Linked DNA regions of Kluyveromyces lactis. The protein of the gene in region 3 interacts with the protein of the main gene of each other region in a pairwise test. Links are inferred from orthologs where the notes say so. Each region holds a gene or a part of one and is shown on either strand. Other genes may lie near its edges.

Region 1 (3,762 bases), on a different chromosome or scaffold from region 3:
ACCGTAACCACCATCACCACGGCCACCAAAGCCACGGCCACCACGGCCACCACCAAAGCCACGACCACCACGGCCGCCACCATATCTTGGATGTTGGCCGTATTGACCCCTGTCGTATCTTCTTAGTTCTTCTGGAATATCTTGTTTAGCTTCTCTCATAATCTTGATCAAAGCAGCACCCAGAGATTTATTGCCTTCAGTGAAGAAGGAGATGGCAGTACCAGTAGAACCGGCTCTACCAGTTCTACCAATTCTATGCACATAATCTTCGATGTTGCCTGGCATATCGTAATTGATAACGTAATTAATACCCTTGACGTCTGTTGAATAAGAATGAAGTTAGTAAGTTCGTTCGTAAATCGTAATGGTAACTATATTGACAGCACAAGTTCGAAGCACTTCCAAATGAGAATATAAAATCCAGAGGGCGCAATCAACGATTTATTATAACATTAGCCCGCGCGGCTTATTCATGTCAGAATAGTCGGTGGAAGACAAAGATTTATGTAAGGCTTGCTTATGTCGCAAATATGTACTTTTCTTTCTAACTTCATAGAATACATGGAACAACTACTAAGAGGAATCGCAAAAATAAAACTGAATGCACACTTTGCATAACAGGGAAACCATCCTGTGACGCTATTTTATCAGTTTTTTAATTCTTTAACCTCTTTGTTAAAATGAATGAATCCTTATTTCATTAGGTTCATGTTCCAATCTACTACTAAGCACAATTAATGATACGCGAATCTGATCTAACTCAAACGATCATGTTAAAAATAAAGAACATCTTTCAGCAAAATTGCATCAAAGAGATGTCAAATTGATAACATGATTAGAAAAAGTATCGAATGTCCGGTAATTCATCACAGCCTTCAATGCAACGAGAAAACCACGTTGTGTAAAAGCTACTTCACCACACATTCGAACCCAACGGTCCAATCAAAACCTGATTGTCATGAATACTAGTAAGCTTGCCAATCTACTTTTAATTCTAGAGATCTGAATAAATCAAATCACATCGGACTGGTCAAGTCTCTAAATCTTTATCAATAATTGTGGAAGTCAAAATGAAAAGTATTTTCATATCCTTTTCTCTGTCCGCACCAAATCCAATAGGATTTCGTTGATAAATAATAAGACCAGCTCATTATTTTTTACCTTTGAATCGAAAACATCCGTGTCATTCGAATAAAAAGGCATATCGTGATCATTTCGAAAGAAATGACTTCGACAGTTGTCTAATATAGTTAGTAGAAAGGTTTGACGATAGTCTCAATGTAAACTAAAGTTCAAACCAATGCTGAAAAAATTAAATTTCAATAACATACCAATACCTCTAGCAGCAACATCAGTTGCTACCATGATAGGAGATCTACCGGACCTAAACTCAGCCAAAACCCAATCACGCTCGTTCTGAGCCTTGTCACCGTGAATGGCCAAAGCTGGCCAGCCTTCAGTTCTCAAATAAGAAGTGATCTCATCACAAGTTCTCTTAGTGGAAGCAAAAATGATGATCTTGGAGTCTTGATCTTGAGAAGCGGTTTCCAAATGCTTGGCCAATCTATCTCTCTTTTCGAAATCAGTAAGGACTTCGACGATCTGAGTGATTGTGTGGGATGCAGACAATTCCAAAGAACCAATTTGAACTTGAATTGGATCATGCAAATAGTCACTTGCCAATTGTTTAACTTCCTTTGGCCAAGTAGCGGACCACATCAAAGTTTGTCTATCAGGTCTAATTTGATCGACAATTTTTCTGATTTGAGGTTCGAAACCCATATCCAACATTCTATCAGCTTCATCCAAGACAAGGTAAGTGACTCTTTTCAAGTTTGTCTTACCAATTTCCAACATGTCAATCAATCTACCTGGAGTAGCAATCAGGATTTCTACACCTCTCTGTAAATCTCTGATTTGTTGAGACTTTGGAACACCACCATAGACACAAGTGTTTCTAATTCTAGAGGAAGCACCAAATTTGGAACATTCTTTTTGAATTTGAACAGCTAATTCTCTGGTTGGAGCCAATACCAAAACAATTGGACCATCACCTGGAGATAGCAAAGGTTGAGCATTAATATGAACGATACCTGGTAAACAGTATGATAAGGTCTTACCGGAACCGGTCGCAGCGACACCAATCATATCTCTACCAGACAAAGCCATAGGCCAACCTTGGCATTGAATACCAGTTGGTTTGGCGAAACCTTCTTGCTTAACTTCATCCAAGACATAAGATGGGAAACCAGCTTCATCAAAACTTCTGATAGGTTTTGGAACGTCATGACCAGAAATGGTCATTTCGTTTTCCTTTCTAAATTCGATAACTTCACTTTCACTCATTTGAGCAACATCTGGATGTTCTTGGTAAAAATTCTTTTCGAAAACTGGCAAATTTGGTAGTTCTTCGTCCCAGTTTGGAGCGACCAAATCAACTCTGGTATCACGAGATGGACCACGACCAAAGCTACGGCCACCGCGGAAGTCATTACCTCTGTTGTAGCTGTTTCTGTCAGAACCTCTGCTACCACGGAAGTCACCATGAGTGCTGCCCATGTTGTTTCTGTTAAATTGATGATCTCTTCCACCGCCGAAACTCATTGTTCTCTGTATAATGTGTGAAATAAGTTGCTTGATGTTGAGAACCAAACGATAAAAAAAAATGCACACTTGTAATACTGAATGAACGAGGATCAGAGACAGGTTTGAATAATGTTTGCAGCTTATATATTAGTTTCAAAGGGCGATGAGGGAACTTGCAAATTTTTCAAAAAGAAACAAAAAAGAGAGAAAAAGAAATTTGTACCAATGTACCAATTTACCAAAATGGTCACGTGATTACATTAGCCACTCCAGCTACTTTTGCCAATGGTATATCCAACGGTGCTTCCAATGTGCTAGATTACCAGTAGCTATAAACGTAGAATCAATAGATATTATAGTGTATTATACAAGGATGATGTAGTTGTGTATTTAATTCTATTCTCTTATATATAGTTAATGCGGGAGCTGGAGATAACCAATTTCTACATTTCCCTGATTCTTTGCGTGAATCTGTCCTCTACAGCATCACACATGTCCATTAGATCTCCAAGACCCTTGTGCAAAGCCTCTACAGCAGTAATTTTGCCGTATGTTTGAATTCTAATGTGCAAAAAGTTTTCTGAAGGATGAGGAATAGAGTAACCACAGAATTCTACCTCCGGGTTTTTCATGATCATATAACGAAGCGTGTTACCAAGGGTATGATCTTCATCTGTTATTCTGAAAGAAGCACTAGTACCATCTTCGGAAGTAGCTTCTGTGAGAAGTTTGATCTTTTCACTGTCCACTTCTTCCTCCACTTGATCAACTTGATCATTTTGTTCAGCTGCTAGCATATCAACATCTTGCTTTTCCACTTCAGCCATATTTCCGAGAGCGCTTATGAATGGTCACTTAGGTGGTTTGTGCGTACTTCTTTCAAACAGTCAATAAGACGAGATGACCTACTCTGTTAAGCTGAACAATTTGTCAATATTGATTATGGTTTTTTCGATAGAGAGAAGAGGGAAAACCAAATCATGCTAAAGGAAAAAACAAAAAGCTTACCCGGTCTTGACCGGGTAACTGAAAGAAGCAAGTTGATGCGAAATACCAGATCACGTGTCACACACTTCATCAGTTACCGCGCAATGCACAGGTGTTGCTCATAGCCACGCTCAGGGTACCACACCATAGTATATAAACAACGGATCCCGAACAAAAAGCAAAGTAAAC
Region 2 (2,224 bases), on a different chromosome or scaffold from region 3:
GCGCCTTTGCTGGGTTACAGACAGCAGAAGAGATGGAAAAGCAGATCGCAGAAAAGGAAAAACTTTCTATGCAAAAATCAGGGCTTCTCAAGAAGAATCAGAACACAGTATATAGAGACGAAAAAGGTAAGGTAATAGATGGATACGAAGAAGAATTGAAACTTCGAGAAAAGGCTAATTTGACAGCGAAAGTACGTAAGGAAGAAGAACTTAAAATACGAAATATAGGCGAAGTACAAATATCAAAACTTGATCGCAAAACTGAGAAAAGTGCATTATTATCAACCGAAGATCCATTGAATCAAGGAAACACCCTGCGAGGAACGAATACGTCACTGTTGGGTCGAAGGCTTTACGAGAAAAACTTTCCAGAAAATCGGTTCGGTATCGTTCCCGGTTATAGATGGGATGGAGTTGATAGATCAAATGGGTTTGAAACTAAGTGGTTTGCTAAGAGTCACGATATCGCTGATCAAAAAATAAAGGAACAAACAACAAACCGGGAATTTTGAAAAGTTGAACCTGAAAGTGTCTCTATTCTTATATACTAAGCATTATTTACTGAAGTGATATAATATTTACTGTTAATAGTCCATTCAAACCAACATTCAGGTTTCAGTTTTTTTAGGAGAATTTTTGAAATGACCACCCCTCCCGGAGGCACCACGACCACGATTACTACGGCCACGACGACCGCCACGAGAATGAGAAGATCTCTTTGTATCATCTGAGTCTTTATTCTCCACATTTGCTGTACGTCCATTCTCATCTCTAATTAGGAGATTCTTAAGATTCCTGGATGCCTCTTTATCTAATGGTGGATTTTGTACAGGTTGTGACTGAGGAGGAGCTGCATAAGCAATATGCTCATTATTCGGAATGAAAGGCGGCTGCATCATAAGAGGATGAGGAATACCACCAGGAACCATATGTGGGGGAACAGTGAAATTGTAAGGCAGAGAATTTGCTGGAGGTGGTTGAATTTGCTGTTGAGAACCTGGTTTGATTTGGTTCAAGACGGCATTGAACACGTTGTTAGCAGCCGAAGGATTTAAAGTGTTAACTGCTATTTGCGGAGCGGATCCAGATTCGGTATTTGATTCCGCGTTATCCTTCTTGATATGATTTAACAACTCATGGGCTTGCTTTTTTTTGAGTTCCTCCACTCTCTTCTTTTTTGCGAGGGCGACTTGCTTATCATTAGGAACTGCTTTTGGTTTCTTATCAGCACTCTTCGATGCCTTTGAATGATATACCAATTGTCTATCAGACAAGTTTAATAAGAAGGAAGAGTCCAATCCCAAACCACGTCTGGTCTGCAACCTACCACCAAAGTTGTTTCCTGCAATTATTTCATTGTCAAATAGAACTTGGATTGAGACGTTCTTGCCAATTGAAGTGTAGCCAACGACAGTACCTTTGCTGTGAAGTGGAACCTTGCCTGAATCTTGAATGTACATTACCCTATCACCTAAGTGGAACCTTTGGGAGCGCAATAGAACATATGACGATTCCGCATTTAAGATTGCCTCACGTGGGACCTTAGCTAATTTCTTCTGCTCGCTTGAATCTGGTAAAGAAACGTATTTTATGATTTCAGATTCAACAGCTGCCATCGAAGCCTTGGTTAGCGAATCACTTTCCAAAGACACCACCACGAATGGTTTTCTTGCTTCTGAGAGCCAATCAGCCACTGTTTTCAAAATGGAATCAGCTTCCGCGCTAGATTTGTTAGGGAAGAGATCAGTGATCGATGGAATTGCTTGTTCCTTCGAGTTAGAAAGTTTCGCAAAGAACTCAGGGAATGTAGATCTGAACTGCTCTAACAAACCAAGAGCGACGTCAGAGTATTCCCATTTGTTTGAGCTGCATCTGGCATAACCGAGAACTTTTTGATTTCTTGCTTTGAATTTGATCATCAAACCGACGTTATGGCTTTTCTTTTTAGAATCATTGACCAAATATCTTGAAGTAATTTTTGACAAGAAGAGAGGGTGGACACGAGCTATTTTTGAAAACACTTGTGTTGGGTAGAATCTCAAGGCTTGAGAATCCAATTTCGCTCTAACTTTTCCGATGTTAGGCTCTGCTCTGAGAGAACCCTTTTTGACTGTAAGTTTTAATCTAGTCTCACTATTATAACCATCAACGGTCGCCTCCCCACCATACGCATAATCACCTAAAAACACAACTTTTGAACCTTTTGGAAATTCTTTATTAATTG
Region 3 (3,759 bases):
AAGCCATTGGATAAACTTCCATCAAAATTGACCGCGTCTTTATCGTATTGGTTAACAGGATGCGTAGCACTTAAGCGCGATTGTGTATCAAAAGACTGTCCATTCCAATATTGTTGGTTCAATAACGAAGACAAGTCCGTGTTTGGAATAAAAGATTTTTCAACGACGTTTTGGCCACCGAATGAGACCAAACTTTGAGTGTCAAAGTCTCTCTGACCAGCATATTGTGTATAACTACTGTTGTTGGATGGGGCTTTCCTGGGTGCCCTAGAAGGTTTCGTCAATTGGACTGTGCAGAGTTGTAAATTATCCAAAAACCCTTCAACAAGACAACCCTTTTCTCTGAAATGAAGTAGTAGATGACTCCATAAGCTATTGCGAGATAGTGCCCTTGGGTTACCCAATATTATTAGACCGTATTTAGCACGAGTCAACGCAACATTTAGACGACGTGGGTCACTCAAGAAACCAATGGTGTTTCTCTCATTGGCACGGACACAAGACAAAATAATATAGTCTTTTTCTCTACCTTGGAAAGCATCTACTGATGCCACTTCAACGCCCATGTACAATGATTTTTCCATCGAACCATTCATTTGCATATATTGTACAACATATGCTCTCTGCCCCTCATAAGGAGTTATAACACCAATCTGTTCTGGTTTGACACCATCTTTGAATAGTCTTGTAATGATCTTTTCACAGTTCATGGCTTCAATTCTGTTCAAGTAGGAAGTACCATTGCCTGAGATCTCTTCACGACCATAGTTAGCCCAAAACATCATAGGGATAGTATGAATTGGCCATGGAAAGGTAGATCTTGCAATAGTACGTTGCTCGATGGTGACACCATTCTGTAAACTACCTTCGTAGAACATGTTGCTTGGGAATTCGCTTAATTGTGGATTCATTCTATATTGGACTTCCAATCTAATAGGAATGTGACCCAAGGAAATTAATCTTTCAAACAAAGATTGTTTCAAACCAGCGTCACCAGCTTTTCTATCTAAAATGACAGGACCAAGTTGCTGATGATCACCAACTAGAACAACTTGTTTGGCTCCCTTGACGATAGGGATCAAACATTCAGGTTCTGACGCTTGAGTACTTTCATCGATCAATACTGTGCGGAACTTATAGTCCAATCTTTTATCACCAGCGCCGACGCAAGTACAGCAAATAACATCAGCTTTTTGAATGATGGTAGCTTCTGATTTTCTCACTAACTTCACAAATTTCGTGGTATCCGATGAGGAAAGTTCCCCTGTTTTTTCCTTAAGATTGAGAAGTTTTTTGAGTTTACCTTCTGCAGACCTGCTGACCAAGTTATGCAATGCTAACTCGGACACTGAGCTCTCCACATCTTCTCTACTTTTAGCAGTTAATCGTACTACCTTTAAACCCATACTGTGCAACTTGGCAGCAAGATGATCCACTGCAACGTTAGATGGTGCACAAACTAAAACACGCTGTTTGTGGATTTTAGACAAATGATAAACAATGGTAGCTGAAGTGACGGTTTTACCGGTACCAGGAGGTCCCTGGATCAATGATAAAGGTCTTTGTAAAACATGCTTCACAGCATTACTTTGAGATTGGTTTAACTCGGTGAAGTGAGGCACAAAAATGCTTTTGGGTAATTCTACATCAAATTCCACATCTGGAACCTCTTGGCCCAATATCTTATAATACAAGAACCCTGATAATGATTTTTTGGTGACAGCAAATTTTCTTAACGCTTCTTGCATTCTAATATAAGAAGTTCCCCTCCATACAAAAACTGCTGTAAATCCTGTAGTACAATTAGTTGGTGGAGTTTTTTGACTTGGTTTCAATTCAAGAGTAAATTCATCTTTGAAACTGTTTGGTAGCTGGATGATGAAACCTTTTCCTGTCCAATCTGCATGTTGTGGACCACTATACTTTAAAATCATCTCATCACCAACGGCAACTTTTAATTCGTTAGATTCGAATGTGGATAATGCAAAAGTAGCTAGATGTCTGTTGTTCAATGCTAAATCCCATGTGACAGAGATGTGTTCTAAGGCCTGTGATTCCTTTAATTGCTTATCATAATCTGCTTCTAACTGAATCAAAGGACCAAATGATCTTTGGTACTGATAAGCATCAGTGTATCTCATCAAAGTCGGAGGAATATCTTCATCTTGTTCGACCATATCAATATCCATAATTGTAGCGTTTTTGTTTGATTTCCATCTTGCTTCCAATTTCGTAATTTGAGATGGAGTAATCATCCTGGCCTTCAACTGATCTTCTTCACTTGGTTCTTCTGCCACCCAAGATAGCATCTTCCTTTCTTCAATAAGTGGTTGCCAGTTATCTGTATCCCAATTAACATTCTTCATTTTAGCACAAGGCAATCTGCACAACAAGACCACAACAGCCTCACTCTTAGCCGGAACAAAACCAAGAACAAACACATTAGTACGTCCACAATTGTAGCATTCCAAAGTAGTATCTCCTAGCTCTGAGTCTGGATGTAATGAAACTGAAGAATGATGGGATAAAACTAAATGGTTCACAATATGGGAACTATTAGTACCATTTTTCGAATTACAAAACCATTTGCTGCAAATGTTACACTTGACAACACATGAAGTATTATCAATACCACAATATGCACAAGCATGTTCCGCAATAGGATCTGTATTAGCAGCAGTGCCGTGGAACTCAGAGTATTCCTCGTCCAGCATCTCATCAGTATCGTAGAAAAAGTTTTTGTCGTCATCGTCTCTCAAAGAAACAGATTCGTTTGAGTCCGAATCTGAATCAAACGGTTCATTTGGCAAACGCATCGTCATAAGGAAACTTGATTCTAATTGTACTGAGATAATAAAGGCACCAGTCGTGTACAATCTACTTCAAAGAATAGCTTTGAACAGAATAGATCGAACTAACCAAAAAAAAAAGTTCGCAAGAAATGAGTCAGAGTCACAAATCAAAATATGTTACTCAGCACATTGATAGATGCTCAATTTACAGAACTTCTTGAAAATACAGATAAAGTGATATAGGAAATAATAACTGTTGAAGCATATTATGATTAAATACTTTTATGTATGGAAGTTGATGCATTTTCTGATGAGATGTGAGATGAGATGTGAAGTACACAAACTGAAAAAAAAAAAAAAGAATCAGCAAATGCATGCAAAAGTCGGGTAATTAAATAGTGATTAGGTGACAGTCTATGTCCTATTACGTTTATATATTTGATGCATGAGGGTATACTGATGATTATGATTGGGGTAACTGAGGGTGGTTGAAGACTGGGGTTGTGAATTTTATTATGAGAAACTCTCTGATAAAGCCTGTTCAATGAAAGACTTTCTTCTTTTTCTTGCGTCCAAAAATGGTGGTGGATGTGAAGATGAATATTGGTTAATTGATTGAGTTCCTGACGGTATTTCTGGTATGGTTCTATTAGTGTAGGTGTTTGGATTGGCAATTGTGCTATTTGAACTTTGAGGTGAAGTTCGTAATGACATTTTTGCCAACGATGAAGAGACGGTGTCTTCTGTTCCATGAGTTGAAGCTTCGTCTGACAATTGTTTTGACTTATCAAAGAAGGATTCCGTCGCTGAATCCAATTCAGAACTTACGTATCTCTCCAAGCTGTATAAGTGTGTTGGAATGGCATTTGTAGATAAGCTAATGGACGATCTTGATCCATTGGAAGATTTAGGATCTATTGCGCCCTCGTCAGTGATATTAGTTGGGGATCCAAAAGAGAGACTGTTA

The links.
Region 1: the proteins of NAM7 (region 3) and DBP2 interact in a two-hybrid assay, tested with the Saccharomyces cerevisiae proteins (2 studies listed by BioGRID). The link is inferred for Kluyveromyces lactis from reciprocal best matches to the Saccharomyces cerevisiae genes NAM7 and DBP2.
Region 2: the proteins of NAM7 (region 3) and XRN1 interact in a two-hybrid assay, tested with the Saccharomyces cerevisiae proteins (2 studies listed by BioGRID, with this or other methods). The link is inferred for Kluyveromyces lactis from reciprocal best matches to the Saccharomyces cerevisiae genes NAM7 and XRN1.

The regions. Positions count from the first base shown.
Region 1 is NC_006042.1:2,215,526-2,219,287, forward strand, and holds the start of DBP2 (DEAD-box ATP-dependent RNA helicase DBP2), read right to left. Parts: upstream 2,605-3,762; coding exon 1,332-2,604; intron 321-1,331; coding exon 1-320. Other genes in the region: DNA-directed RNA polymerase core subunit RPC19, read right to left, coding at 3,030-3,413. UniProt on the Saccharomyces cerevisiae protein: ATP-dependent RNA helicase involved nonsense-mediated mRNA decay and ribosome biogenesis through rRNA processing. Associates directly with chromatin, correlating with transcriptional activity.
Region 2 is NC_006042.1:2,093,981-2,096,204, reverse strand, and holds the end of XRN1 (chromatin-binding exonuclease XRN1), read right to left. Parts: coding exon 609-2,224; downstream 1-608. Other genes in the region: BUD13 (Bud13p), read left to right, coding at 1-512. UniProt on the Saccharomyces cerevisiae protein: Multifunctional protein that exhibits several independent functions at different levels of the cellular processes. 5'-3' exonuclease component of the nonsense-mediated mRNA decay (NMD) which is a highly conserved mRNA degradation pathway, an RNA surveillance system whose role is to identify and rid cells of mRNA with premature termination codons and thus prevents accumulation of potentially harmful truncated proteins.
Region 3 is NC_006038.1:566,971-570,729, reverse strand, and holds the start of NAM7 (ATP-dependent RNA helicase NAM7), read right to left. Parts: upstream 2,823-3,759; coding exon 1-2,822. Other genes in the region: MBR1 (Mbr1p), read right to left, coding at 3,306-3,759. UniProt on the Saccharomyces cerevisiae protein: RNA-dependent helicase required for nonsense-mediated decay (NMD) of aberrant mRNAs containing premature stop codons and modulates the expression level of normal mRNAs. Also capable of unwinding double-stranded DNA and translocating on single-stranded DNA.